Linked DNA regions of Lonchura striata. The protein of the gene in region 1 interacts with the protein of each later gene in a pairwise test. Links are inferred from orthologs where the notes say so. Each region holds a gene or a part of one and is shown in the gene's direction. Other genes may lie near its edges. The genes, in order: RNF41, HOMER2, ASB6 and ENOPH1.

Region 1 (7,174 bases):
GGATTTGGGGCAAATTTGGGGGGGATTTGGGGGGTTTGGGGAAATTTGTGGGGATTTGATGTAAATTTGTGCAAATTTGATGTAAATTTGTGGAGATTTAGGGTAAATTTGTGAAATTTGATGGGAATTTGTGGGATTCAGTGCAAATCCATGAGGATTTGGGGTCAATTTTTTGGAAGTTGATGTAATTTTTTTGGAATTTGATGTAAATTTTTTGGAATTTGATGTAATTTTTTTGGAATTTGATGTGATTTTTTTGGAATTTGGGGTCAACCCGGGGGGATTCGGTGCAAATCCATGAGGATTTGATGTAATTTTTTTGGAATTTGATGTAAATTTTTTGGAATTTGATGTAAATTTTTTGGAATTTGGGGTCAATCCAGGGGGATTCGGTGCAAATCCATGAGGATTTAGGGTCAATTTTTTGGAATTTGATGTAAATTTTTTGGAATTTGGGGTTAATCCATGGGGATTCGGTGCAAATCCATGAGGATTTGGGGTAATTTTTTTGGAATTTGATGTAAATCTTTTGGAATTTGGGGTCAACCCGGGGGGATTCGGTGCAAATCCATGAGGATTTGGGGTAAATTTTTTGGAATTTGGGGTCAACCCGGGGGGATTCGGTGCAAATCCATGAGGATTTAGGGTAAATTTTTTGGAATTTGATGTAATTTTTTTGGAATTTGATGTAATTTTTTTGGAATTTGATGTGATTTTTTTGGAATTTGGGGTCAACCCGGGGGGATTCGGTGCAAATCCATGAGGATTTGGGGTCAATTTTTTGGAATTTGATGTAAATTTTTTGGAATTTGGGGTTAATCCATGGGGATTCGGTGCAAATCCATGAGGATTTGGGGTCAATTTTTTGGAATTTGATGTAAATTTTTAGGAATTTGGGGTCAACCCGGGGGGATTCGGTGCAAATCCATGAGGATTTGGGGTAATTTTTTTGGAATTTGATGTAAATTTTTTGGAATTTGATGTAAATTTTTTGGAATTTGATGTAATTTTTTTGGAATTTGATGTAATTTTTTTGGAATTTGATGTAATTTTTTAGGAATTTGGGGTCAACCCGGGGGGATTCGGTGCAAATCCCCTCAGATTCGTGCCAATCTCAGCTGAGACCCCCCGGGCACCCCCCGTGCCCCCCACACTCACCCCCTTGCCCTGCGCCTGCTGCGCCGCGTACTCGGGGTTGGGCTCGCTGAAGTTGGGCACCTCGGAGTAAACCATGCAGAACCTGCGGGCGCAGCGCGGCTTTTTGGGGTGCCCCCGGTGCCAGAACCCCCCTGGCACCCCAAAAACCCCCCAAAAACCCCCCAAAAAACCCCCCAGGCTGCTCCTCACTCGCCGATCTTCTGCAGGTCGCCGCCGCGGCCGGTGTAGAGCGTCAGGCAGCCCTTGAAGACGGAGGCGTAGCTGAGGATGAGGAGGGTTTGGGGGTCACAGTGGGGTCCCCAAGTGTCCCCAAGTGTCCCCAAGTGTCCCCAAGTGTCCCCAAGTGTCCCCAGAGGTCCCCAGTACCCCTTGGTGAGGCGGATGATGTCCCCGGGCTGGATGAGGTTGCCCACGTCGTCCCACACGGAGATGTTGATGCTGCCGGTCTTGTCGGCCACTTTGCACGTCCGAACCTCGTGGCCGTCCTTGGTCTTGGTCACCCGGCCTGGGGGGGACAGCGAGGGGACATTGGGGTGACCCTGGGGATATCGGGGTGACCCAGGGACATCGGGGTGACCCTGGGGACATCGGGGTGACCCTGGGGATATTGGGGTGACCCGGGGACATCGGGGTGACCCAGGGACATCGGGGGCACCCTGGGGACATCGGGGTGACCCCAGGGACATCGGGGTGACCCGGGGACATCGGGGTGACCCAGGGACATCGGGGGCACCCTGGGGACATCGGGGTGATCCCAGGGACATCGGGGGCACCCTGGGGACATTGGGGTGACCCGGGGACATCGGGGTGACCCTGGGACATCGGGGTGACCCTGGGGATATTGGGGGCACCCTGGGGACATCGGGGTCACCCGGGGACATCAGGGTGACCCTGGGGACATCGGGGTGACCCGGGGACATCGGGGGCACCCAGGGACATCGGGGTGACCCTGGGGACATCAGGGTGACCCTGGGGACATCGGGGGCACCCTGGGGACATCGGGGTGACCCTGGGGACATCGGGGGCACCCTGGGGACATTGGGGTGACCCGGAGACATCGGGGTGACCCTGGGGACATCGGGGGCACCCAGGGACATCGGGGGCACCCAGGGACATCGGGGTCACCCGGGGACATCGGGGTGACCCTGGGGACATCGGGGTGACCCGGGGACATCGGGGTGACCCGGGGCACGGGGGGCACACGGGGGTGGCACCGACCGGTCTCCAGCACGATGAAGATGAGGTTGAGGTTCTTGAGGCCGGGTTTGACGTCCTTGACCAACGTCTCGGCGCTCATGGCGGCGGCGCGGCCGGCGGGGACAGGGGTGGCACCCTGGGGACACGGGGTGGCACCCTGGGGACAGCAGGGACACCAAATGGCACCCTGGGGACACGGGGTGGCACCCTGGGGACAGCAGGGACACCAAATGGCACCCTGGGGACACGGGGTGGCACCTTGGGGACAGGGAATGGCACCTTGGGGACACCAAATGGCACCCTGGGGACAGCAGGGACACCAAATGGCACCTTGGGGACAGGGGTGGCACCTTGGGGACACCAAATGGCACCCTGGGGACACCACATGTCACCTTGGGGACACTGAGTGGCACCTTGGGGACACGGGGTGGCACCCTGGGGACAGCAGGGACAGGGAATGGCACCTTGGGGACACCGAGTGGCACCTGGGGGACACAGAATGGCACCTTGGGGATGCGGGGTGGCAGCCTGGGGACACCAAATGGCACCCTGGGGACACGGGGTGGCACCCTGGGGACACGGGGTGGCACCTGAGGGGACAGCGGGGATATGGATGGGACCCATGGGGACACGGGGTGGCACCTGGGGACGTGGAATGGCACCCTGGGGACAGGGAATGGCACCTTGGGGACACTGAGTATCACCCTGGGGACACTGAGTGGCACCTTGGGGACACCGGGACCCGGGGATGGAGCGGCGGGAGCCGGGCGGGACATCGCGGGTGGAGCTTGGGGACATCCCGGAGGGACACCGGGACCGGGAACATCCCGGATGGGCACCGGGACCGGGAACATCCCGGAGGGACACCGGGAACATCCCGGATGGGCATCGGGAACATCCCGGATGGGCACCGGGACCGGGAACATCCCGGAGGGACACCGGGACCGGGAACATCCCGGAGGGACACCGGGAACATCCCGGATGGGCATCGGGACCACCGGACCGCGGGGACGCGGGGGCGGCCGGGACACCGGGGACAAGAACGGGACTACCCAAGAGCGACACTCCGGGGACACCGGGACCAGGAGCGGGACCGGGAGCAGGAACAGGACCGGGAGCAGGAGCAGAACCGGGAACGGGACCGGGAGCAGAACCAGGACCAGGACCGGGAGTGGAACCGGGACCGCGCTCCCTCCCGTCCCGCCACGCGAGGGCGGCCGGGACACCGGGGACAGGACCGCGGGATCGGGACTACCCACGAGAGACACTCCGGGGCCACCGGGACCGGGACCAGGACCGGGAGCAGAACCAGAGCCGGGAGCAGGACCGGGAGCAGAGCCGGGAGCAGGACCGGGAACGGGACCGGGACCGGGACGCGCTCCCTTCCTCCGGTCCCGCCGCCAGGGGGCGCCCGCCCCGCCCGCCGCGCGCTCACCGGGACCGGCGCCGCCGCCGCCGCCGCGGGCGATCCCGGAAGTCCTCCACCGCAGCCAATCAGCGCGCGGGGAGGCGGTTGACGAGCAGCATGCCCAACCAATAGCGATGGAGAAAAGGCGGGACTAGGAGGCTAAACCACGCCCCCTCATTCCCTCATTCTCCGCCTTTACCACCGAGTTCCCGCCAGGGCGGCACTTCCGGCCAGGGCAGCACTTCCGGCCAGGGCGGCACTTCCGGCCAGGGCGGCACTTCCGGCCAGGGCGGCACTTCCGGCCAGGGCGGCACTTCCGGCGCGGCGGCGGCGGCACCGGGAGGAGGCCGCGGCCGCCGCTGAGCCCCGGGCGGCACCGGGCGGCACCGGGAGGCCCCGAGAGGCCCCGGGCGGGCCGGGCCCGCCCCCCGCGGTACGTGCGCTGTGGGAGCGGCGGCGGAGCGGCCCCGGGGCGCTGCTCGGGGCTCCCGGTAGCACCGGGAGAGGCCGCGGGGGGGGGGGGAAGCGGGTACCGGGAATGGAACGGGAAAAGCCGGGGGAATTTCGGGGGAAATTGAAAAGAATTTGGGGAAAATCCAGATAAATTTTTGGGGAAAATCCAAAAGAATTTGGGGAGAATACAGGGAAATTTGGGAAAATTCTGGGGAAAATCCCGAGGAATGTTTGGGGAAAATCCAAAAGAATTTGGGGGAGAAATCCAGAGGAATTTTGGGGAAAATCCAGAGGAATTTGAGGAAAATCCAAAATGATTTGGTGGGAAATTCAGGGAAATTTGGGGAAGAAATCCAAAATTAATTGGGGGGAAATCGGAAATAATTTGGGGAACGATCCAAAAGAATTTGGGGAGAATATGGAGAAATTTGGGGGAAATTTGGGAAAAAATCAGAGGAATATGGGGGAAATCCAGAGAAATTTTGGGGAAAGTCCCAAATAATTTGGGGGGAGATCCAAAAGAATTTGGGGATAAATTCAGAGAAAATTTGGGGGGAAATCCAGAAAAATTTGGGGAGAATATGGAGAAATTTGGGGGGAATCTGAAATAATGTGGGGAAAATCCAGGAGAATTTGAGGAAAATATGGGAAAACTTGTGTGAAAATCCAGAGGAATTTTTGGGGGAAATCCAAAAGAATTTGGAGAAAATCCTGAGAAATTTGGGGGAACTCCAGAGGAATTTGGGGGAAAATCCAAAATAATTTTGGGGGGAAATCCCAAATAATTTGGGAAAGACTCCAGAAAAATTTGGAGAGAAATCCAGAGACATTTTGGGGAAAATCCAGAAACATTTTGGGGGAGAATCCAGAGACGTTTTTGGAAAATCCAAAATAATCTGGGGAAAATCCAGTAGAATTTGGGGAAAATATGGAAAAATTTGGGGAGAGAATCTGGGGAACAATCCAAGAGAATTTGGGGAAGACTCCAGGGAAATTTTGGACAAAATCCAGGGAAATTTGGGGAAAAATCCAAAATATTCCCAAATTTCTGAGCTTGGATCCCAGTGGGAACTGGGCTGGAGTTCCCAAATTTCTCAGTTTGGATCCCACTGGGAATGGAATTCCCAAATTTCTGAGTGTGGATCCCTGTCCAAGCCTGGCTGGGGGCTCCGTTATTCCCAAAATTCCCAAAAAAAAAAGCAGAGCAGGGCAGGATTTCTTCCCATCGTTGGGAATTCCAGGTGGGAATTGGCTTTTCCAGGAATTTCCAGGTGGCTTTTCCAGGAAATTCCAGGTGGCTTTTCCAGGAAATTCCAGGTGATTTTTCCAGGAAATTCCAGGTGATTTTTCCAGGTGGCTTTTCCAGGAATTTCCAGGTGGCTTTTCCAGGAATTTCCAGGTGGTTTATGCACAAAATTCCAGGTGTTTTTTCCAGGAAATTCCAGGTGATTTTTCCAGGAAATTCCAGGTGATTTTTCCAGGAATTTCCAGGTGGCTTTTCCAGGAATTTCCAGGTGTTTTTTCTAGGAATTTCCAGGTGTTTTTTCTAGGAATTTCCAGGTGTTTTTTCTAGGAAATTCCAGGTGATTTTTCCAGGAAATTCCAGGTGGTTCTCCTAGGAATTTCCAGGTGTTTTTTCCAGGAATTTCCAGGTGGTTTATGCAGAAAATTCCAGGTGGTTTATCCTGGAATTTCCTGGTGGCTTTCCCCGGCATTTCCGGGTGTTTTTTCCGGGGATTTCCAGGTGACTTTTCCCGTTTTTTTCTCTTTCCTGGGATCAGATCCGTCCTGCCGGACCTCGCGGCGCCGCCTGTGGGAGACGAGAGGGAAAAATGGGAGAATTTTGGGAGAAATTCCCGGCAGAGAGCGAGGCCAGCGCAGCCCTGCGGCATTCCCGGGATTCTGCCACGGGAGGTAACCCCAGCGGCCTTTCCATGGGAATTCCTGCCTTTTCCAGGGAATTCCTGCCTTTTCCATGGGAATTCCTGCCTTTCCATGGGAATTCCTGCCTTTCCATGGGAATTCCTGCCTTTTCCGTGGGAATTCCTGCCTTTTTCCATGGGAATTCCTGCCTTTTCCATGGAATTCCTGCCTTTTCCATGGGAATTCCTGCCTTTCCATGGGAATTCCTGCCTTTTCCCGTGGGAATTCCTGCCTTTTTCCAGGGAATTCCTGCCTTTTCCATGGGAATTCCTGCCTTTCCATGGGAATTCCTGCCTTTTCCATGGGAATTCCTGCCTTTTCCATGGGAATTCCTGCCTTTTTCCATGGGAATTCCTGCCTTTTCCAGGGAATTCCTGCCTTTTCCAGGGAATTCCTGCCTTTTCCATGGGAATTCCTGCCTTTCCATGGGAATTCCTGCCTTTTTCCATGGGAATTCCTGCCTTTCCATGGGAATTCCTGCCTTTTCCAGGGAATTCCTGCCTTTCCATGGGAATTCCTGCCTTTTCCATGGGAATTCCTGCCTTTCAGTGGGAATTCCTGCCTTTCCATGGGAATTCCTGCCTTTCCATGGGAATTCCTGCCTTTTCCAGGGAATTCCTGCCTTTTCCAGGGAATTCCTGCCTTTTTCCATGGGAATTCCTGCCTTTCCATGGGAATTCCTGCCTTTCCGTGGGAATTCCTGCCTTTCCATGGGAATTCCTGCCTTTTCCAGGGAATTCCTGCCTTTTCCAGGGAATTCCTGCCTTTTCCATGGGAATTCCTGCCTTTTCCAGGGAATTCCTGCCTTTCCATGGGAATTCCTGCCTTTTCCATGGGAATTCCTGCCTTTCAGTGGGAATTCCTGCCTTTCCATGGGAATTCCTGCCTTTCCATGGGAATTCCTGCCTTTTCCAGGGAATTCCTGCCTTTTCCGTGGGAATTCCTGCCTTTTCCATGGGAATTCCTGCCTTTCCATGGGAATTCCTGCCTTTTCCAGGGAATTCCTGCCTTTCCATGGGAATTCCTGCCTTTTCC
Region 2 (7,195 bases), on another chromosome or scaffold:
GGTATTCACATCCAGGCTGGAGTCCTGGTGGTGACTGCAGGGCATCGTTCTGGTTTTGCTGGCTTTCTTTGTATGTCCAGGTCTTCTCTCTTTAAGATCTTATTTTAAATTATTTTTGGTTGGCTGCCTTTGTCTTTATTCAGAAGGCAACATATACCATAATGTGACAAAGACAGCTCTTTGCATTTACATAAACATCTGCTTGGATTTGGTACTTGCATTTTTCACAGGATAACTCTAAAAAAAGTGAAGTACAAACTGGGCATGAACCTTCTATGACTCCAGTTATACAGGTGCTTCCTGGCACTAAGTAAATATAAGAATAAACCGCACAGAATAGTAAGATAACATGCAACCCATTTTAAATTTAAATTTAAATTTAAATTTAAAACCAATTTAAATTGCTTTTAAATTACTTTTTCCCTTTTATTTTTTGCTTTTAAAGAGACAGAAAGTAATCCTATTATTCTGGCTTATTTCTGAAGGAGACTGAAGAGAAAAACTTTTTTTCTTAGAAATCAGATGTCTTGCTGGAGAACTTGAAAGTCTCATGTTTTTTGTGAGCTCTAACATTTTAATTGAAAGGACAAGAGCGTTTATTATTTTAAGCAAATAGATCTTTTGTCCTAATTATTTATTAGATATTAGATTAAGTAGGTTTTAAAAACAAATACTGCAAATCAGAGTATTTTCAACATAATTATTGAAAATCCTTTTTTTTCTGTCGCTTCACCTTTAACATTTTATAGCCAGTGATATTATAATTACATTAGCTCTCCATTTGTCAGGAGACTAAAAAAACTAATTCTCTGTTTCAAATGTAAAAATCAAGAATTCCCCAAGCTTATTTTGGTTAAATCCAGGATAACATTTAAAGATAGAAAATGGTTAGTTATTTGTCAAAGGGGGGAAAAAAAGGGAAATGGCACAGTCCTGCTGGATTAAAAAAATGCAGATTTTATCAGTCTACTTGGAAAAAAGAGAAAAATCACAGTACTGAATATTTTATTTAATACTACCTGCCATGGGAAATAGAGAGAAATCTACCTTGAAGTGTAATAGTTTAAAAAGACTGAACAGCAGGTTTATTCTGCAATAAAATTACATCTAAAATAAAATAGAGTGGCAGAAGACAACAATAGTGAAACCAAACAAAAGGAGAGAACAGAAACACAGAGAGAGGAAGAGCCCAGTGAGCTCTTTGCTTTTCAAAATGCTGGGTACATAGTCCTGATTGTTAGATCAGCTTTCTGAAAAGGATATTCATCCTGTATCTAGGAATCAAAAAATTGTATCTTTAGGAGGCCTGTGGGAATAGAAGAAATTTCTCATCTAAAGAAGTTAGACCCATTTACAGAATGTGGATATTTTTATTCCTCAGCTTGAATCCTACCAAGGGATCCTGTGCCTTCAGTATTTTAAGTGTTCCTAAGCGTGCCACAGCAATAAGGGCACACTTGTGAATACTAAATGAGGACTGATTTACCCTCCCTTACACATCCTGTGCCTGAGCCAGCTCGGAAATGAAAGATCATGTCACATATGAAGCTTGAGAACTCATTAATTGTGATAGAATATTTATAGTTCTCATTTCCAGAGAACTGAAAATACCTTAAACAACTGGAATATTAAATTACACAAAAATAAGTCAATGGGAACTATACACAAACTAGGACACAGTTACGGTTGAGATGTTCAAGATGGAGCTGTCTGTAGAAAAATTAAAAAAAAATTCAATATTGATATTGTTAAGTGGTTTGCATGAGATCTGGGCCTTACTCAAATCCATGGGACTTTTACCATTGACTTGAAGTGGGGACAGGGCTTCATCCTCTTTTTGGCAAAGAGGACCACAACAATGTGCCACACTTCAGAAGGAGGAGTATCTCATCCATTTGGAAGAACAGTGGGAATTTCAGATGAAGGGACTGCACTTACCCCAAATATGAACAGAAAACTGGGTTAAATTGTTGTCTACCAGGGAAAATGTCTCAGGGTACTGGAAAAATGGGACTAAAACCCTCTATGTCCTAGAAGACAGTTTTGCAAAGAGCAATAATGAAGTGGAAAGACCTTATGAACAAAAGCGATATACAAAATCTTGTATCATGTGAATTATGCTTCCATAAACTTAAGCTTTATTTTTATAAATGGGGTTGAGAGCACAGTCTTGAATGCAATATTGGAAAAAAATTTAAAAATTAGAAAATGCTAAGGCAACTGCAGTTCCAATTGCCAATTCTCATCATGACACACATAGTGAGGGCATTACCCCATTTTGATCCAATTCCATTAGATGCTTGTAAGTCTCATGCAGCACTGGTTCATAATACACAGCTTTTGGATACTCACCAAAATGAGCTAATTAGAGAGGACCAAGAGAACTTCTCTCTGATGAACGGAGATTTAACAAAATGCGGTAAATGGTGTAAAAACAATGTTATAAAATGCTCAGATCCATGGTGAGAGTTTTTTCCACAAGATTTCTATGCTGCTGTTTTTACCCTTAGAAAATGTCACCCCTCACTGTGTCCTCTAGAAGACAAAATGGTCACATCAAAGCAATATTCAAGGATGCAGGTCATCATGAACATGAAAGGCTTGTCACTTTTGCCATGGGTATCTCAGAGGAAATCAGAGGCTATCTCACCTTCAGCTGGCAGAACAGGACATAGGAAGTTTTACATCAGTGATTAGGTAAGGAGTTAAGTCTCCTTCAACACCCACAGTAACCCTCTGATCGTGGTAAAGAGAGCAGGTACATGGGAGAGGTGTCATCCTACAGCCCTGTGGAAATGTCTGTGTCATTCACCCCCGCTCTTTTTTCCCTCCAACGGAAAAGACTTTGGGTGCATGGGACTGAAATTCCATTTTGGTGTTCCAGACATCAAGAAATAGTTGTCTGTCAGAAAAAGGGTTCCACTGTCCACAGCTGGAAGGAGTCTGGATGCTGGCTAAGTTTTTCTTTCAGGATTTCCATGATGTCCCAAGGCAATACTAGGGACACCCCCAGTTATTACACATGAAGTAAAAGCAAGCAAACATAAAACTTTTCCCACAACTTCTAATCTTCCTTGGAAAGAAAGGATAAATCAACGTGAGATTTAAAAAAAAAAAAAAAAAAAAAGATGAAAATAATCACTCTTGGTGGCAGAGTATTAATTATAACTTTGTGTGGGTGAAGTTAAAAGCCTGTTTTATGTGTGAATTGGTCGTATTTTCTCCATGAAAGAGTAAGTGTGTCTGCGTACACAGTCCTGTGAACACTCGAACGAGCAGGTCCACGGCTCTGCTATGGATTTGTGTCCTGTGATTGCCGCTCAGATGCCAGTGTCACCCTCGCGGCTAGGTAGCCATTACACGGCTCTTCCACGCTAGTCCAATTTTCCTTCCCTGCTTAGGAATCGTCCCCCTTTATTTTCACGAAACCTACATAGTTTTGGGACGGTGTGTGGCACAGACTTGCAGCGAGGCTGAGAAGAGCCAAAGGAGATGCAGACCTCCCACATTTCTGGGCAGAGCAGGCGGGAGCTGGCTGCGTGCGGCCCCTGCCCTGCCGGTGGCCGAACAGGGCAGAGCCGAGCCCGCGGCTCGCAGGCTGCGCCCCCACGGCCCCGGGGAGCGCGGATTCGGAACGCGGGGAGGGCGTGACAGCGGGAGAACCCGCTCGTGGTTCACCGGGCATCCCTCGGCGTGGCATCGCCTCCAGGGGGAAGCGCATCCCCGGCACCAGCGCGCCGTGCCCGCGCCGCGGAGCCGGGGCTGGCGGCGCGGCATCCCGGTGCGGGACAGCCGGTCCCGGACAGCCGCTCCCCGGGGAGGGCTCACCCCTCTCGCCGTTGAGGCTCCCCGGCCGCGGGCGGGGCCGCGTGGGGACACCCCACAACTTCCCCCGAAGTTTTCTTGCCGCCTCGTTCGTCCCCTTCGGCGGCTCGCCGTCCCCCGGCGAGGGCATCGTGAGGACGAGACCCTGCACCCCACCGGCTCCTGGCCGCGCACCGCGGCACAACCCGCCGAGCGCCGGCGGCCGGGCCCGGGGCGGGGAGCGGAGCCCCGGGCGCGGCCGGCCCCGCCCCGCCCGCCGCCCCCGCGCTGCCGCCTGGCAGGGCGGCGGGTGCCGCGGGAGCTGCTCGGTGCCGCCGCCGCCCGGGAGGGAGGTTATGTAAGGGGGGAGGGAGGCGGGAGGAGGAGCAGGACGGCTCTCGCCGCCGTGCAGCCGCCGTGCAGCCGCAGCCAGCCGGGGCGGCCGCATGTGCGAAGTGGGGACGCGGCCGCCGCTGGCCGCCGAGCGCGGGGAGCCGCCCGGGGGTGCCGCCGCCGCCGCCGAGAGGTGCCGAGACATGGGGTGAGTCCGCCGGGCCCCGGCCCCGCGGGGCACCGCGCCCCGAGCCGCGCGTGGGCGCCGCCTCCCGCGCCGGCCCCGCCGCAGGTGCGGAGCGGGGCGAGCGCGGCCGCCCCGTGAGCGCTGCCCTGGACGCGTTTGGTACCGTAATTAATCGCTGGCTGCCGCCCGAGCCGCCGGCGGAGCGGGCACGCCGCGGAGGAACGGCACCGGCGGCAAAATCCCCGCTGGAAGGAGCGGGGAGGAGCTCGGGATGCCGCGGAGCGGGGGCCGGAGCGGGGCCGGTCCCTGGCCGGTCAGCTGCGGGATGTGCGGCGAGTTCATTGTCATGTTCCACGCGCCGGTTCTGCCGGAGCTCTGGCTGCTGGAGGCACACGGTAAACTTGCCTGAATTGTGCCAGATGGTCCCTAATTTGTGCACATATTTTTCTCTTTTAAACATTTTTTAATATGCCAGGAGTCTCTGACCACATGTGGTAGCCTTTTGGAGAATTCAGCTTGGTCTTTCCAAAAATTAGTCCTTCATTTTTGTTATCCTCTAACTTGTATGAGGGGACAAACGCCAAATGCTGGCATTAGGGTAGTTTATGAACTAAATATCAGAGAACAGAGGTTAAGGTTGTGCCTTTGGCTTGAACTATATATAGGTTTGAGATCCTCTCGACCAGAATGTCTTGGGGGATTCCAAACCCACACATTTAATTTACTTTATTTTTATCCTATTATGTTCTCTTACACCTTTTCCTTGCCTCTCCTCACCCCCGTGTGGCAAGGAATCGTTCTCCAGTTTCTGAGCTTCCTCTGCTGCTTTCAAATGTCCAAATTCCCACTATAGATTTGTTAATTGTTGTCAAAGTAATATAATGTGAGGCTGTATGGATAAATAATGAATTAAAATGGCATGCACACGTCCAAATTTGATACTCTGGAGTACTGAATAGAAATACAGGGGCAGAGGGAGAAATAGGATCTAAGTGAGTATCTCCCTACGTTTCTCTTCAGGATTACAGGGGCTCATCTGCTTCTTAATTATGCAAAGTTTAACTGGAAAATAAAAGAGAAACTGTCCTTGGGGTTGGAGAAAGAAGTATTGAAACCTGTTCGGAGCAGCACTGCCCCACAGAGTCCAGGATGATCAGAAACATCCATCCATGGGAAACTTGCCTCTGTCGATCTACCTGGGTGTCTCTAAAGGCAAATGTTTTAGTTGCTGTCATTTTTAACCATTTCCATTCTGGTAGATCAGTTTAGCTGTGGCTTGGAGAGAAGTGAGTGGAAGGTCACAGTGCTCCTCCACCCTTTCTGTCAGTCAGTTTAGTTCTGGCCTTGGTGTGGTCCTGCTCTGCCTCCGGAGCTGTTCCAGCTGCGAAGGACTTTGGCTGCAAAGGCTTTTGAGAGCTCTGGTTGTGCTCCTGTCTGTGCTGCTGCATGCAGTGTCAGATCATGCAGACCTGTACAGGGAGCAGGCACGTTCACTGGTCAGTTCAATACACTGCTTTAATGTATTTCTCAGTAATTTCAGTCTTACACTGGTGCACATGAGATCAAGCTCCCAGTGTCATTCATTCCGCGGGTTTCAGCGTGGGTTGTGCCTTCTCTTGCACTCTGTACAGAGTTCAGACAAGGTGTTTGGTGAATATGCATTTTCCCAGTGTCTCACATAATTATCTTGTCATTCACCTTTCTGATCTGGAGAACTTGGAAGTGCATTTGTGATAGCATTACTGCAGCTGTGGCTTAGCACACATGGCACAGGAGCAACCTCCCAGTTTTCTTCTGGTTCCATCTATGCTGCAAATCCTTCACCTCTGCATGCTCCAGCTTGTCCTTCTGTGAAATGGGCAGCTCTGTACTCACGTGTCTTTGTGAAGCAGGTCGTGGTCAGAACACAGAGCTCAGTCATTCTTACTTGCATGAGTATATTTTGGCCCAGGCATTTGAGTGGGATTTGCTTCCTGGGCACATTTTAGTGTCACATATGGGGCATGTACTCAAAGAAATTGTGACAATTAATTGATTCTTAGCTCTTAAAATATTTTTTTCTTTTACTTTCCTTTTTTCTTTTTCCTGGGGGTGACCATTGCTAATGATTCATTTAAATGCTGCCTATGGATTTGGCAGTGACTGATCGTGCTATGAAACCTGATACAGCTACTTGAGCTTAGCAAAGCAAAGCTATTTAAATTGCTTATTAGCTGTGAGCTGAGCTGTTTAAACTGTTGGTTTAGTTCAACTTACTAGTCAGCAAGGTAGTGTAATGTTTTACAATTTACATGTTTTTTTAAAAAAAAACTAATGCCTGTAATACAAGGGACATGAAAACAACATTGTAAAAAAGTTACCAGAAAAAAGTCTGCTCCAGGGTCCATAAAAGTCAATGTGAAAGTTGCTGCTGACTGAAAACCACTGTATTTTGGTCAAGCCACTGTTAAGAATCTGGCTGGACAATGTCTACTTTAAAGGGAATTAATCTTTTCTCAAATCACTTCTTTCTTCTACCAAGCATATCTGATAGCTGCTGTTACCTCAATCCTCTCAGAGTTTAAACTTCAGCTATTGGAAAACCACAATGCAACACATTTCCAGCTGTAGAAATCTGTGTCTGAAAATACCTCCTGCTTTGTCTCTTGCAAGCCAAGGGCTGACACAATCAAGGAAGTGTCTCTGATGTTAGTGGGCTGCACCTACTTATCTAATGGCCGTGGTCTGGCTCAGAATGACCTCAGTTTAAGCAGTCCAAGTTAAATTTACAGTTCTAAGGATGCTTGAGATTTTGGTATTAGCTGATTTAAGAAGGTGCTGGATAGGTGTTTCATCTGTGCCTAAATTCTTTTATTATTTTCATTTCTTTAC
Region 3 (8,034 bases), on another chromosome or scaffold:
AGGGGTGCAGCTGAAGGCAGATTTTGGCTCTTTCCAGCTCTGCGGGGGGCTCCTCCAGTGTGCAAACAATCCAGCCCAGCCTCCCTTCCCCCTCTTTTTTGGGGGGGGTTCCGTTTATGGGTTCTGCCGGTCCGATTCGCTGTCCCCAGGGGCGTTTTGGGAGCCAGCTCCGGTGTCCGGTTCTGTCCCCTCGGGCTGATGTCACCCTGCCTCTGCTCCTGCTTCCCCGCGGGATGCTCCAAAGATGGGAACTGTGGTGCTGCCCAGCCCGGCTGGACGTGTCCCCTGTCCCCCCGTGCCAGGGCAGCGCTGTGCGCGGCGCTTCTGCGCTCCGAGAGTGTTTTGGAGCGCGAATCAATGGCCAGCAGCCCTCCTGGCTGCTCCGTGCTCACGGGGAGAGGGTGGCTGCATCCCCCCGGGGACCACCAGGCTCTGGGGGACCCAGCACAGCCTCGTGACACCCTTCCCTCACTCCATCCTGCTTTTTGCCACCGTGGGACAGACCCCACCCAGGATGGAGACGACCCCGTGTCCAGGAGAAACCGCTCGAGGGTCAGCCCCGACCCTTCAGCAATGGGCACTGGTTGGCTGCTGAGGGGGGCAGGGCAGTGGGGACCCCCATCCTTGGGATGCCCCAGCACCCCCCTCTTGTCTCCAGAGCTGGGAACATCCTGCTGGGATTATTTTGGGGGTGGCTGGTCTTGGCGCATGGAGGGGCGAGGGCAGGAGCGGGGGATGGAGCAGCCCCACCCCCGTTTATAACCCTCTTCCTCCTCCTTGTTTAGGGCCAGACCTTATTCTTGAACTGTCTGGCTTTTCCAGGGGAGACAGCTCCCCCTCAGTCCTTGGCATTAAATAATTAAATGGAGGGAATAATCGTCGGTGAAACCCCCTTGGGTTCGCACTTCCTCGGGCCCTGTGATTGCTGATATTTTTTTGGTTGAAATATGACCTTTTTTATGATCAAAGGGGATCAGAGTTCCAAAGGAAAGTTTAAAAAAAAAAAAAAAAAAAAAAGGGAAAAAAAAAGAGGGCCAGCATTTTCTTTTTTCCCCCAGTCTTAGTGGTCTGGTAAAGTTTCTTTAGACATGCAAAGATTTACACACCTTTCTGCAGGGTGCCTTAAATTACCCTCCAACTCTTTACACATTTCCATGAACAGAGCAAGAACAGTAAGTCATTGAGAAATTAACTGGCCTTTCAATAATATCCCCTGTCGGCCTTTCAGAAGGAGAATGTCTAATGACTTTTTTGAAGTAGAGGTCAGGGTTTGCTTTTTTTAAATAAAACAATCTGTATTAATGCAATTTCCTTTTTAGCTGTAGGATTTGCCCTTTTTTTTTTTTTTTTTTTTCCTCAGCATCGTTTTTTTAACACCACCAGCCACACGAGGCATCCCAAGCAAGACCTGGTTGCTTGAGACACACACTCCTGGTGTTCCCTAACCTGCTTGTGCAAGCTCTTATCATTTAATTTTTTGGTAAAAATTGTGTTTTAAACTGGACTTCGAAGCTGGCAAGGTGACTCAGCTTTGGGTGGTGCAGAGACGGAGCTGAGCAGGTTTGCTTTACCTGACACCAGCACCTGGGTTTTGCTGAGCTGGGTGTGAGCTCTGAGTCCAGCTTTGCTGGGCCAGAACTGCTGGGTGATGAAGCAGAGGCACTGAGCTGGAAGAGCTGTGCTGGGCCCCTCAGAGCTGTGCTGGGCTGTGCTGGGCTGTGCTGGGCTGTGCTGGGCTGTGCTGGGCTGTGCTGGGCTCCTCAGGGTGAGGATCTGTCTGTCCAGAGCCTGCCAGGTTTGCAGCCCTTGGCATGGATGTGTTTCTCTTTGCCAGTCCTTCATCTTCCTCTCGAAAGAAAAAGATTGAAAATATAATATTTGTTTGGTAATCTCAGTTTGTGTTTCCTTGGGGTTTCCTGGTATTTCTCTCACGCTGCACTAACACCTTGTGCTTCCGTGTTGCTCGGCACGGCACAGATTTGGATGTGCTCTGCCAGCCCCAGCCCCTCCTCACCCCAAAACCGTGGACAGGGGCAGTGCAGCCTCCTTGGAGCACTGCCTGGGATGGTGCTGCTCCTTGTGGTACCCAGGAGTTCCCTCCTAACATTCCCAAAATCTCGCCCTGTGGATGTTCTGGTGCAGAGAGCTGGGCTGGCTCGCCCACAGCTGAAGGATTTTCTGACCGTGGAGTTGCACCTCTGCTGCCTGGAGGATGCTTGGGGTAAGGAGTGGGAAAGAGGAGGGTGTGGGGGATGGCGGGGGCCTGGCAGTGCCTGGCCAGGACCAGGAAAGGGCTCTGGGGTGTGTGCCCGGCCCGTGTGCTGCCCAGGCTGGGGATCAGAGCACCCCCTCCGCCCCCGGGGCATCAGGCAGGGGCCAGGGCAGTGCCACCCGCAGGGGTGACAGCCAGGAGTAGCTGCTGGGGGAGTCCCCCGTGCCCAGCCCTGCCCTTCCCAGCAGGAATGGTGTTTCTGGATTTACTGAGCAGCTCCTCTTTCTCCCTCCATCTCTGCCAGACCCCAAAAGTACAGCATGCCCTGCGCTGGCTCCTCTCCCCTGCAGCCCTCACAGCTCCCCCATTGCCTCCTAGCTCCCTGTCTCTGTGGTTGGTGGCATTATAAAACACTCCAGCAAGCCCCTTGCTGAAGATTTTTCTCCCAGCTTTCTCATTCCCTCTCTTTCTGCCTCTCTTCTGCTCTTTCTTTCTCTCCCTCTCTTTCTTTCCCTGCCAGGAATCCCAGTCAGTCCCAGATGAACCAATACTCCGTGGCTCTGCTATTTCCCTTTTATTCCCCCCCTCCTTCAACAGCGAGATGGGAAAAGAGTGAACTAAAAAAAAAAAAAAAAAAAAAAAAAAAAAAAAAAAAAAGAGAAAGAAAGAAAGAAAAAAATCAAAGCGGCACATATTGGATCCAGATGTGCTTACAGCCCTTTCCAGCAATTTAATTAAATTCCCCCAGACAGCCAGGAGGATTTCTTAATGATCAAATTTCCCTGGCTTTCCTCCTAAAATGCCCCTCTTTCTTCGGCTGGCTGTTGCTGTGTCTCCCTGATGGATGGCCAACTCGCATTCTTCCGAGTCCGCCCCGCCAAGGCCGTGGGGAGGAAGGGGCAGAGCCTGGTGCTGTTCTCCCAGCCAGGCACTAAACACCCGCCCAAGCACGGCCAGAACGGCCCTGCCAGCAGAATCTCTGCTCCCAGGAAATGTGGGGCTGGGGAATCTCCCTGCGCTGTGTCCCGTGGTGTGGCCGTGGCAGGGAGGACTCCCACGTGCGTGGGCTCGCTGTGCTGCTGGCAAGGGAAGGGCTCAGCCCGTGGCTCTCCTGGATTGTCACCTCCCAGGGCTGCTTTGGAGCCAGGTTTGGTCCCACACTGTGTCCCCAAAAGCTCCTTTCAAATTGGGGGAAAAGCCTCTGTGGGGCTCCTAAAAATGCACATTGGGGCAGCTCGGTGTCCCCTCTCATCCTCAGGGACAGCATGGCTGGGGGCAGAGGTGGCACTGGGGTGACCCTGCCTTGGCAGCCCTCCTTTCCCAGCAACAGCAGGAAAGGAGAAGCGATTTCTGCCCAAAGTGCCCACCAGTGCCACACAGACAGGGATGGGGTTTGTGTCCCGTGCTGCCACTGGAATTGTGGAGGGTCCAGGGTTTTCTTGGATTGTGGCTTTTTGGGCTTTACTGGGAACAGAGGGCCCAGGGTGTGGCTTTACCTGGGACTGGAATGAGGGTCTCAGCTGCCCAGCCCACCCCAGATGGGGTCCCCCCAGCCAGGCTGCTCTGGTTTGAAGCCAGCTGAACCCCCCTATGCAGAGGGACAAATCCCCCCCGTCCCTCACTCTCCCTTCTGCTTTCCCCCTCTGCTCCCTGCCTGGGCTGGATGGGGTTATTTCCACCCCTACTCAGGCAAACACGGGGATGACACCCCAAAACCCCACCCAGGGGGGCTGCTGGGCTGCAGGAGGGGTGCAGGATCGAGGTGCCACTGCACAGCACCAAATCCTGGTGGCACCGGGGCCACCCTGCGAAGAGCCCTGTCCTGAAGGTGGGCACGGGGTCCAGGGGCTGCAAGCACTGGGGACCTCCAGCCTGGCACCCCACTTTGTGTGAGGAAAGGAAGGGTGGGAAACAGGGGGGACCGTGACAGCATGTCAGAAAAATGCCCAGCCGGGGCGGCCTCCTCGCCCCTTCTGCCCCGAGGCCACGGCTGCCTGCTGGAATCTGGAAGCGCTCCACCGGAATAAAATAAATACGTAAATAGGAAACCCAAGGCGGCTTCAGTTATTGCCGCTCTCCAGAGCTCCCCGCGCTGGCGGATTCCGCCAGAATAATAATAAAAATAATGATGATTATGATAATAGTACCAATAAATCCTGGGCTAATGCTCCCCCTGGTAGCTCTTTCAGCAGGGGAGGGTCCAGGCGCTGCGGGCAGCGGCACCGGAGCCACCCCGAGCCCCGGGGGGGCGGCAGCCACTGGGTGCCACCTCCCAGCAAAGCCAGCCCGGCCTGGGTGGGTCCTCCAGAGGGACGGGGGACATCGGGGAAAACGGGGACACCCGGGATGGGGGGACACCCGGGACGGGGGAGGACACCGAGGAAGGGGATAGGCGGGGCGTGACACCCGTGAGAGAGGGGACGCCCCGGGAGGGACAGAAGGGAGGAAAGGGGAGGACAGAGGGGGGGAAAAGGGGGGGAAATGGGGGGAAAAGGGGGGGACAGAGGGGGGGAAAGGGGGGGACAGAGGGGGGACCCCGGGGGATGCCCCCGTCCCCCCCATCCCGCGCGCGGCCGCGTGCTGCCCCCTGCTGGCCGCGCCCGCCACGGCCACGCCCCGTGCGAGGCCACGCCCACTGAAGCCACGCCCTTTAAAGCCACGCCCATGCGCAATGCCGCTCGACGAGGCAGCGCCTTGAGCGAGGCCACGCCCCCAATGGCCACGCCCCCAGCCAGGCCCCGCCCCCGGGTCCCGTTCCCGTTCCGGTTCCGGTTCCGGTTCCGGTTCCGGTTCCGGTGGCGGTGCCCGGGCAGGTGAGGGGCGGCCGGGCCGCGGGGAGCCGTGCGGGGAGGGCGCTGCCGGGGCCTCCCTTCCCTCCCGCCCTGCTCGGCGGGGGTTGCATTGCAATTCGTGGGTGTTTATCTGTGAAAAAGAACCGGGCTTTATGGACTCGTTTGTTTTTTTTTTTTTTCCCCCCCCCCCCGCTATAGCCTGATCTGCCTCCTCAGGGAAAGGTGTGATGGTGTGTTTAATGCACCTAAAAATATTTGTATGTCAGGAGTGGTGCATACCCTTATTTATTTATTTATTTACACGTACGTGCTGATAATAACAAAAATATTCCCGCTTTGGAGTATTGTAAAACGAGCAGAAAAATTAGTGTTGTTTTTTACTAACTTATTTTAATTGGGCTGTTACAGCTCGGTAAAGAGCGATAAGGGAATTAAGATGTGTGGTTTTTGTGCAGGGTCTCGTGTTCCTCCTGCTGGGGTCTGGGGGCTCCTGCCCATCCCTTGCCATGGGCTGCCCGGGGATTTTGGGGCTTCCTGGGCTTGAACCCCAGGAGGGATCTGCGGGGTGGGCGGTCCCTGGGGTGGCTCCAGCCCCTCTCCCAAAAAGCCAGGCAGGGCTTTGCTGGTTGCAGACCCCTCGGAGCACCCCCAGGCTGGCTCCTGGCACAGGGGCTTTGTGCCCGTCCTGGCTCCGCCTGGGCGTTCCCGTGCCGTGCCCAGATAACTGCAGAGCGCAGGAGATCATTTGGAGACACCAGATCGCTGTGTGGGAGGAGATCCCTGCGCTGCCTTTATATGTAAGGAGGGGGAGGCTGTGTTTTCTTCTATGCTCAAACCTGCTGAAAGCCTCGTTTGTTTGGAAGGAGGGAGAAGCCCCTTGGAGGACAGCGGTGCCGTGCTGGAGGCCCCGGGCGGGGCAGATCACGATGCCTTTCCTGCACGGCTTCCGCAGGATCGTCCTGGAGTACCAGCCCCTGGTGGATGAGCTCCTGGGGCTGCTGGCCACACCTGACACGGAAGGGCAGAGCTCCCTGGAGAGGTAAGAGCGGGGGGCTGAACACCCCAGGGTGTTTCTGGGGGATGGTTGGAGCTCAGGGAGGTGGCCAAGGTTGGACAGCGTTGGCTTGGACAGCCTCCAGTCCTGGCGAGCAGCTCATCCCACAGACCTTCATTTTGCTGCTGTTCTTTGGGAACAGGGAGGTGCAGCAAGGCAAACACAGGAGCTGTGGGGGCTCCCCAGGAACAGCCCTTTCTGCCTGACCCCTGGCAACAAAGCCTAAACTGGGGCTCAGCTCAGCCCTGAGGCTGCTGTGTAACCCCACAACCAGCGGGTCAGAGACCCACTGGGTATGGGACCAGAGGGAAGACCAGGGATTTTCCTTCTTCCCTGCTGCCACTTTGACCCTTGCACACCTGAGCTGTGTTCACTGAGTAACTGCTGGGTTTTTGTGTGTCTCAAGCCCTGCCTGCCTGGACAGTGACAGGAGCCAGCTCTCAGCTGTGAGAAGAGTCCTGGAGAGGGAGATCCACTCCCCATTTTATCAGGAAGGTGTGAGCTATGCCCTGCTGAAGGTCACTGAGCTGGGGCTTGTCCCAGCTGCAGAAATCCTCCTGGAATTTGGTGCTGACCTCAGCTTTGAAGGTGAGGCTGGTGGGAAGGAGGCTGGGCCAGGAGGAACCGGCAGATGAGAAGCTGCCCTGGCAGGTGGGGATAGCTGGGGCACAAACAGGGGGTGCTGCCAGCTCAGACACTCCTGCTCCTTGCTGGAGTAGTGTGGATGTGCCTTGTGTGTACCCAGGAGCACCAGGGGGGCTTTTGGCAGGATGGAGCCACTGGAGCAGCAGGACCTGGGGTGCCTGTGCCTGTTTTCTCAGGCATCACTGTGCTCCCAGGGCCCTCCCCAGCTGTCCCCTTCCACTCCTGGCAGGCACTGGGGCCGTTTTGGGGAAGCCCTTTGTTTTCTTTGACTGTTTTTGTCCTCAGACCCAGTCACCTACTACACCCCGCTGCACATGGCGGTGCTGCGCAACCAGCCGGACGTGGTGGAGCTCCTGGTGCGCCACGGCGCCGACATCAACCGCAGGGACCGGGTACGGCCTCGCTGCCTGGGCACAGCCAGGCCTCAGCTGCTCTGCTGTGTGGGGACAGCCCTCCTGCTTCCCTCCTGCTTGTGCTGCTTCCCCTTGGCACATCCCTGTGCCCACTGTCCGTGGTGCTGTGCCTGAAGGTCATGTTGGCTTTGGCTGAGCCCCTGCCTTGGAGCGATGTGTGGGAGGAGGCTGGAGAGATAAACTTACTGTGGCCAAGATAAAACCCCAACAGCAACTCCCTGCTGACACTCACAGACTTCAACATCTGCCAGTGTGTTTTAACTGTTTTTAACTGTTTTGCAGATCCATGAGAGCAGTCCCCTGGACCTGGCCAGCGAGGAGCCCGAGCGGTTGCCGTGCCTGCGGCGGCTGCTGCAGCTGGGGGCCGACGTCAACGCCGCCGACAAGAACGGTCCGTGCGCCCCGCCCGGCTCCCCCAGCTGAGGGTGGGCTGGGGCAGGGCACAGGGCTGGGCCATTTGCTGCTGTGCCTGCTCCCTGCTTACAGTCGGGTGTGGGAGCTGGGAGGAAGCTGGCAGAACCTCCCTGCACTCGATATTTTCTCCTGGTGTGCTGGCTGTATGAAAAGGGCTGAACCTAGCTCTGTGCAGTCCACGGGAGGTGGGGTGGGGCTGTTCCTCTGTTGTCCTAGAGCACTTGCTCTAAAACTCACTCTTCCATGGCACATAGACCCACTGAGGCTTCCATCAGCCCTGCACGTGTGGTCTTTGACTGTCCCCACAGCTGGGCACCATCATGGGGACAGTGGAAGCCTCTGCCAGAAGACTGGTTGTCACTCCCTATGTTTGGCTGTCTGGTGGGTGGGGCGGGTTGTTTTCCTTCCTGCCTTTTGGGGTGTCACCCTGTCATCTGTGACTGATTGCTCCATTGCAGGGAAGACAGCACTGCTGCATGCCCTGGCCAGCAGTGACAGTGGCCA
Region 4 (7,077 bases), on another chromosome or scaffold:
TGCGTTGCAAGATGGCTTTTTGTCGCAGTATCTCTACCTAAAAAATCAAGACAAAATGCATGTCAGATCTGTGACAGTTACTACAGGATTGTTAAAAGGTCCATTTTCATGAACTGCTTTAAGTCTTCTATATATTCCTTTCTTCACTGTTAAAGATCATATGCATATTTATTAAGGTAACACAAGAGGTTTGTTTAGTTGCCCATCAGTAATTTATTTTCCCGAATATTCAGCCCATCTAGGAGGCTGCTCCAAAACAACCATCCAATTTAAGACAAGTAAGCAGGCTCTGGATCACTTTGTTTTCCATTGGAAATACTGCCAAAAGGCTTTCCGATTATTTGTTTATACAGCTAAATGACTTATGTGCAACATAAGTCAGGTCACTTTAGCTCACAGTCCATATGCATATGATCTTTAATGTTTATCCAGATTTAAAAGTTCGTTTTGGTTTGCAGATTTCACTATTAGCTATAAAAAGAAAAAAGCAAGCATTAAAATCTTAAAGAATGCACATTTAAAATGAGGTTCCACAATTGAAATACAACACTAAACAGAAGACCAAATGATTAAGCTGTAAAGGCATTTATGTACTTTAACTCCTGTAAAAAACCATTTAAGTTAAAGACACTTAATCTCCAAAAAAGATTAAAAAAAGAAGCCAAAGTCTGAAGTTTTCCACTTTAATCTTTACGCTGGTACATGAAGTTGGAAGAGACCATACCACAGGACAGCGTTTTCTGGTGTATGCCTTGCGCTCTGCCTGCAACGTGCGACCCCAGAGATAGACGTGGTCAGGGTGACACACGGCCTGCAATGAAGTTCCCGCTGGCGGGTACAAACAAGGTATAATGTCAGAGTTAGAAGACAACATTCTTGTTTTCCTTAAGTTGTACCCATTTCAGTACTTTACCTGTTAATACTTCTAATAAGTTTAATTATTCCTCTAGACCACCTGGTACACAACGCAAACCAGAAAAACTCTTATGTTTTTCTGAAGTACTAAAGAAGATAAAGTCACGCTTTTACAAAGTTAAAGATCTATAGACACGTAGGCAAAGCTGGTTTTAAAAAAAAAGTATTTTTTAAGTTAACAAAAGCTTAATTAAAGGAAAAGTCATGCTAGGCAAGGTTTTACTCTTCGTTTGTCTATTGATCTTTAAATTAGATTAGACGTAGTTGGAGTGGAGCTTGCGCTCCTGTACACACCTGTTTGTCAGGCACTAGGTACTGCCTTAGTAGGGCTGGTAGTTGTTTTGGTGGTTGCCGCCGCCACGGGACGCCTTCCCATATGTGCTTTGCTGGCCTGGAGGTAGCATGTGGGGAAAAACAGAACCCACAAGTGTTAACACCAGCCTCAGAGGGAAGCTTCACACACAGCAGCACACCAAGGGATCTCATCTTTAGAGCCATGGGCTGACTAAGAGCAAAGTTGCTCTTCTTATCAGGAGCGAGGGCAAAACCACTCACCGCTGTAATCCGTGTATCCCGGCCCATATCCATAGTTGGGATAGTTGTACCCAGAGTAGTCGTAGCCTCCATAGCCACTGTAGCTCTGATCACTGTAAGTGCTATTGTAATTCCCATAGCCTTGATCATAATAGTTATTAAATCCTTGGTTCCAGTTTTGTCCCTGACCTGAAACCAAGCATAGCAAGTGTAAGTTTCAAAACTTTTTTCACTCCTCTCCTGTGCCCCTTTATCTAACTTTCTGGACATGAGAATAATCCAGTTGCCTGAGTACCAAGTGACACCAAAGGACAAGCCTTACTGTGTGGTGCGAGTTGTGGCTGCTTGACCTTTATAGATTGAGATGCATTAACCTGTATAGTACCAGCTGATCCTTCTGATCTATTTGAAAGTGCAGCAAAGTGACCACCCCACTCCTTAGCAAACAGCTCCTGCTTTTCTCCCACAGGCCAATTAGATGTATCACTTTAAAGTGAAATTGCAACTGCTGGTTACACTGTCCACTAAGGGTGCACCCTACACCCACCTTGCCCCTTTACCACTTGAATGCAAGCAGATCAAGAGGAGGCTCCTCAGCTTCAACAAGCAACCATAACCAACAAAACACCACTTACTCACAGGCTACTTTACACATTTGATTTAAACATGAGATCTGCACACAGCCTGCAACCTGGAATATCTGCAAACACCTGAATGTTTGGTTAAGTACTTAGATTAACAGAACCACTGAAAATACTCACCCCGTCCACGCCCCCTTCCACCTCCACGTCCACCAGAAGAATTGCTTTTCCCTCCTTTCTGCTGCTGCTGTTGCTGCCTGTACACCTCTTTGGGCTGTGCTACTTTGATTTCACACTGTAAGGACAGAAATCCTTTAACTTACTACAAATTCCACGAGCACTTTGTGAGCTGCTTTCACAGAAGCCTACAAAGACGGATTTCACATACTAAGAACAAGAGTTTTCCCACCTTGCCTGAACCAATCTGGTGGTATCTGCTCTCTAACAACTTCTTTACTGGCTCTTCATCTGTATACGTGATAAAACAGAAGCCCCTCCTTTCATTCGTCTTTGTGTCCATGGGAAGCTCAATGTTTTCAATCTGAAATCAAAATGAACATAAACAATGCGTAAAATCTGTAAGCAACCTTTTTATGCCACCAGAACTATCTGGCAGTGCAGAATCGATATGCTGACTACTTCTGGCAGCTATAAATCAGACTATTACAATTTTAAGAAATCATTAATATATAGATTCAACTAGCTCTAGTTTTGGCCAACTACCACCTCACAAATCCTTTCTTAAGAAAGAGGCCAGACTACACTTGAGAATTGGAGTGCTCTTATATGCCAATATACTATACCTCGCCAAAAGCACCAAAGTACTCCTTAATCTGTTCTTCAGATGTATCTGGACTCAGCCCACCAACAAACACTTTTTTGGGTGGCTCCTTCCCTTTCAGCGCTTTTGCCCTTTTAGGATCTATTAACTTGCCATCCAGTTTGTGTTCCTTCAGTTCCAACACCTAAAAAGCAGAGAAAAGAACAAAGTCTCAGATCGCTACAGCTACACAAGCTGGCTCCGTGCCATCGGACCACAAGAACAGCACCCACCTTCTCCACGCTGGCAGCATCCTTGAAGAGCACGAACCCAAACCCCCTCGACCTTCCAGTGACCGGGTCTGTTTTGATTGTGCAATCCACGACCTCGCCAAACCGCGAGAGATACTCTGTCAGGTCCTTCTTGCTGGTGTCCCAGCTGAGGCCCCCGATGAACATTTTCCTGGAGGGCACGGAAGGCGTGCGGATCCGGGTGAGGGAACGCCGGGGAGCCCCCCCGCGCCCCCGCCGGTGACGTCACGGCCCGCTCGGCCCCCCCGCGCGCGTCCCCGCCCCGCGGAAACTGGGTCACCCGCCCGCCACACAAAGGCGGGCGCGGCCGCGGCGCGGGAAGGGAAGGCCGCGCTGCCCCCGGCCACCGAGCCGCCCCCCCGAGCCGCAGCGCGGGCGGCGGAGATGGATGCGCGACTCCGCCGCACCTCCCCCCCCCCACCACCACGTCCCCGGCCCTACCCGTCGTCCTGCTGGTTCTTGCTCGCGTTGATCTTGGAGCCCTCGGCGAACTCCTCCTGGCCGCCACTCATCTCTGTCGCGTCCTCCATGGCGAGGCGAGGGCGGCGGGGGTGCTCGTGCGAGCGGCGGAGACAGCGGAGACCTGCGCCCGGCAGAAAATGGCGGCGGAAGAGATCCGGGCACCGCCTGCGCCTCTTTTATATAGCCGTGCCGGCAGCCAATCAGCGCCGCCCTGCCGCCCGGCTCCGCAGCGCCCCCGGCGGCTCGCGGCGGCGCTGCAGCAGCCGCCCTGCGGCCGCCATCGCGCGGGCTGGGCCGGGCCGGTGCCGCGGCTCCGGGCGGGCTCGGGCACCGCCGCACCGGGCACCGCGACGGGCGGGGGCGGGGCCGAGCGGGCCGGCCGGCGGTGGGTTGTAATTCGTAACCCAGAAACCCCCTTCGGGCGACGGCGGTGGGGAGGGGCGGGGCGGGCGCTCCGTGGGCGGGCGCAGCCGGCGCGGCGCTCCCCGCCGCCGCCGCGCGTCCCCGGTGCGCCCCACGTGCCGCCGCCGCCATGGGCGTGCTGCCGGTGCCGGCGGAGGTGCGCGCCATCCTGCTGGACATCGAGGGCACCACCACCCCCATCGCCTTCGTCCAGGTGAGAGCCGGTGGCCGCCGGCACCGCGGGGGGCTCCGGTAGCATCGCCGCTCCCGTCGTGACCCCCAGCCCTGGCGTCGAGGGGGGCTCCCGTAGCATCGCCCTTCCTACCGTGACCTCCCCGGCCCCGGCAGCTCGCCTCAAGGCAGGCCGAGGTGCCGCCGGGAACGAAAGCCGTGACCCATTTTCCGCGTTTTTCCGAATAATGCTCGCGAGCAAGCGCGCCTTGTTTTGCCGATCGGCCGCCGCTGTGGTGGGCTGGGGGCAGGTCGCTACCGCGGAGATTCGGGCACCTCGGGGATTTGTTTCCTGGATGTAGGGCATTGGGGTGCTCGCAGCCTCACCCGGGAAAAGCCCTCGAGCATCGCCGATCCTGTGATGGCTGGAGCTGCAGCACCGCACCCGGCTCTGCGGAGACGCTTCTTGGCCTTAATTTGAGTAATGCACAGTTTGCAGTAATCGGTAATTCTCGGGGTGATCCGCTGCCTTTTCCCTTGGGGAGGCTGGTACAGCCAGGCGCCCCCGGTGTGGGAGGGCAGCGCAGGGGACAGACAGACACACCGAGCGTTCGCGACAGGGACTGGAGTGGCACCGACGCACGAGTGGCTTCCCTTGCCTAGGAAAAAGCTTAAGACTGCTGGAAGTGCCGGTTCAGGTGCAGAACCGGGGGCACTGGGAAGTCTGCGAGTCACAGGCGCTCGGAGAACCGCAAATTGTCATAGCAGGGGTCCCTCCTCTCCGGGAGGCTTTGCTTCGCAGGAGGGAGCGGCTTGCTAAAACAGCGAACAGATGTATCCCTTCTCCTGCCCTAACTTGGATTTCTCTGTGAGACATTATAGCTTTTGGTGGATCTTTGCAGCCAGTGGCGCACAAAGGTGCTTTGTGACCCACATGGCAGGTGAAGGCTCCTGCCTGGCTTTCTAGAGCCTTCTGCTAACACAGCTTAACAGCTGATGATGAACAGCATGACCTACATCTTTCCTGTCCATGTTCTTCCAGTGCTCTTGAAGAAACTCCAGGCCTAAGATGGCATTATAGCTTCCTCCCTCCCCTCAATATCTTTCAATTCAAACAGTTTGGACAGCTCAGGTTTCTTACTAAACATCTAACAGAGCAACTAAGTTGTTTCTGTCCACCTTGAAGCCGTTTTGCAGTTGTGCAAACACATGCCATGCACCTGAGACTCTGGGCTTCCACCCAAAGTCTTTCTGTTGCAGAGAGGCCAAATGAGTTTTGATTCTCAATAAAATTCAGTTTGATGAAAACCCTGAAAATGCTTGGAACAAGTTATTTCATCTGGTCTTTCAGTTAACCTCTATTTGCCTTTGAAAGATCCAACTGATGGTTCAGTGGACACTTTATTCTTCAATATTAAACAATTTTACTTAATTCTTTCTCTAATGTTAGAATTACTGAATCTGCAAAGTAAGGAAATAGGATGAGTCAGTTGATGAGTGGATTAAGGAAAGCTGTCAGAAAAGAGAGTATTTGGAGTCTTCCACACAGATTCCTGGCCTATTAAACTTAGTACATCGTTGGCTGGGATCCATAAAACATTTGTCCCATTAGCTGTCCACTACTCCAGCTGTCACATGGGTGTCCGCTCTTAGTTCACAGACCTATGCACTTGCCAGTGGACCAAGATTTTTACCCTTTTAAAGTCCCCCAAATCATAGAATCCACTGGTCTTTCAGAGTCATTTTGGGAGTTTTTCTTAGCCAGCACAAGAGTATGAAACACTGCTTTTGAAAAGCAATCGTGTCCTTTTGACATCTGAGTTGTAAAGGAGGTTAAACCAAGCCAGCAGGTCAGCTGCATTTCCCAGTGGATTCTCTTTCATTTCCTCCATGATTTAAAAGATAGTTTGAAAGTAAAGGACATGAGAGTAACAGGGGGCATTACAAGGCTTTTGATTTCCCTAGGCAAGTTTGTGGTAATTCTTGAAGCAATTTGCATTCTTTTAAAAATATACAGCATGGAAAATACAGTATTAGAGCAATAGAAAATCCTGCAGTTCTGCCACCACATCACAATCTCAGGACCACTGCTTTCTTAATTAAGTAACAAACTAAAGATGACATAGAACAAGGAACAAGAAACTATGGGCCATTTTTTGAGGAGAGGTGAGTTTAGGTTAGTTTTTTTCCCAATTAAGAAAAGCTCAGTTCTCTACCCAGAGGAAGGACTTCCCTGCCCTTCTCCTTGACCTGAGGCTTTTACTGTACCCGGAGATGCACGGTGGCTGCTTGTGGCTTCTGACTCATGAAACATCATTAATGAGAGCAATTTGTAATTATTTCTGGTTGCTCTTGGGATCTCGGTGAAGGTTTGTAATTTTCCTGTGGCGCTTCTCCCAAACCCCGTTTAATTTCATTTGCAAGACTGTCCTGTGGAGTTCGGTGTCACCAGACCAGGCTTTTAATTTTAAAAGGTCCTCTAGCTTTGGTGAGAGGTTTAGACAGAATGACCTTTTCTTGGACAAGTGCCCCATCAAGAATACAATAGCATAACTTATCTGTTCAGAGTTGCCAGCCTTGTACTCCTCAGCTACTGGGAATGTGGGGTCACAGGTGCCACTTGAGACATTTTTTGGCAAGCCCAGGAAAAGTTATCACCTGCCTTTCCATCACAGGCTATAAGACTTTCAGCTACATAAACGTTTGTGTAAAAAAATCCACCTGCACTGATCCTGGCCCAAGACTGGCTCAGTCCTGTGCCCAGGCGGACACCCTTGGCAGGAATCTTCACCAGCTACAGCACTGTAGGGGAAGCTTAAGTTTGGGGAAATAACTGTACAAAGCAGCATGTGCAAACGTTTCCTTTAAAAGCCAGCCAGCCTTACCTCTGCCAGGTTAAAGGAGCAGCCTCTTTTTCTGCCAGGAGACCTTGTTTCCTTAC

Evidence for each region.
Region 2: the proteins of RNF41 (region 1) and HOMER2 interact in binary tests that used the Homo sapiens proteins (3 or more experiments, as listed by UniProt). The link is inferred for Lonchura striata from reciprocal best matches to the Homo sapiens genes RNF41 and HOMER2.
Region 3: the proteins of RNF41 (region 1) and ASB6 interact in binary tests that used the Homo sapiens proteins (3 or more experiments, as listed by UniProt). The link is inferred for Lonchura striata from reciprocal best matches to the Homo sapiens genes RNF41 and ASB6.
Region 4: the proteins of RNF41 (region 1) and ENOPH1 interact in binary tests that used the Homo sapiens proteins (3 or more experiments, as listed by UniProt). The link is inferred for Lonchura striata from reciprocal best matches to the Homo sapiens genes RNF41 and ENOPH1.

The regions. Positions count from the first base shown.
Region 1 is NC_134629.1:5,463,522-5,470,695, reverse strand, and holds the start of RNF41 (E3 ubiquitin-protein ligase NRDP1), read left to right. Parts: upstream 1-4,127; 5' UTR 4,128-4,196; intron 4,197-5,997; 5' UTR 5,998-6,130; intron 6,131-7,174. UniProt on the Homo sapiens protein: Acts as E3 ubiquitin-protein ligase and regulates the degradation of target proteins. Polyubiquitinates MYD88. Negatively regulates MYD88-dependent production of pro-inflammatory cytokines.
Region 2 is NC_134613.1:14,903,926-14,911,120, reverse strand, and holds the start of HOMER2 (homer protein homolog 2), read left to right. Parts: upstream 1-4,153; 5' UTR 4,154-4,250; coding exon 4,251-4,345; intron 4,346-7,195. UniProt on the Homo sapiens protein: Postsynaptic density scaffolding protein. Binds and cross-links cytoplasmic regions of GRM1, GRM5, ITPR1, DNM3, RYR1, RYR2, SHANK1 and SHANK3.
Region 3 is NC_134624.1:3,661,371-3,669,404, reverse strand, and holds the start of ASB6 (ankyrin repeat and SOCS box protein 6), read left to right. Parts: upstream 1-5,001; 5' UTR 5,002-5,025; intron 5,026-5,867; 5' UTR 5,868-5,930; coding exon 5,931-6,043; intron 6,044-6,464; coding exon 6,465-6,646; intron 6,647-6,988; coding exon 6,989-7,095; intron 7,096-7,398; coding exon 7,399-7,507; intron 7,508-7,988; coding exon 7,989-8,034. UniProt on the Homo sapiens protein: Probable substrate-recognition component of a SCF-like ECS (Elongin-Cullin-SOCS-box protein) E3 ubiquitin-protein ligase complex which mediates the ubiquitination and subsequent proteasomal degradation of target proteins.
Region 4 is NC_134606.1:60,814,667-60,821,743, forward strand, and holds the start of ENOPH1 (enolase-phosphatase E1), read left to right. Parts: upstream 1-4,039; 5' UTR 4,040-4,095; coding exon 4,096-4,179; intron 4,180-7,059; coding exon 7,060-7,077. Other genes in the region: HNRNPDL (heterogeneous nuclear ribonucleoprotein D-like), read right to left, coding at 1,236-1,306, 1,471-1,638, 2,211-2,325, 2,440-2,571, 2,834-2,995, 3,084-3,252, 3,543-3,631. UniProt on the Homo sapiens protein: Bifunctional enzyme that catalyzes the enolization of 2,3-diketo-5-methylthiopentyl-1-phosphate (DK-MTP-1-P) into the intermediate 2-hydroxy-3-keto-5-methylthiopentenyl-1-phosphate (HK-MTPenyl-1-P), which is then dephosphorylated to form the acireductone 1,2-dihydroxy-3-keto-5-methylthiopentene (DHK-MTPene).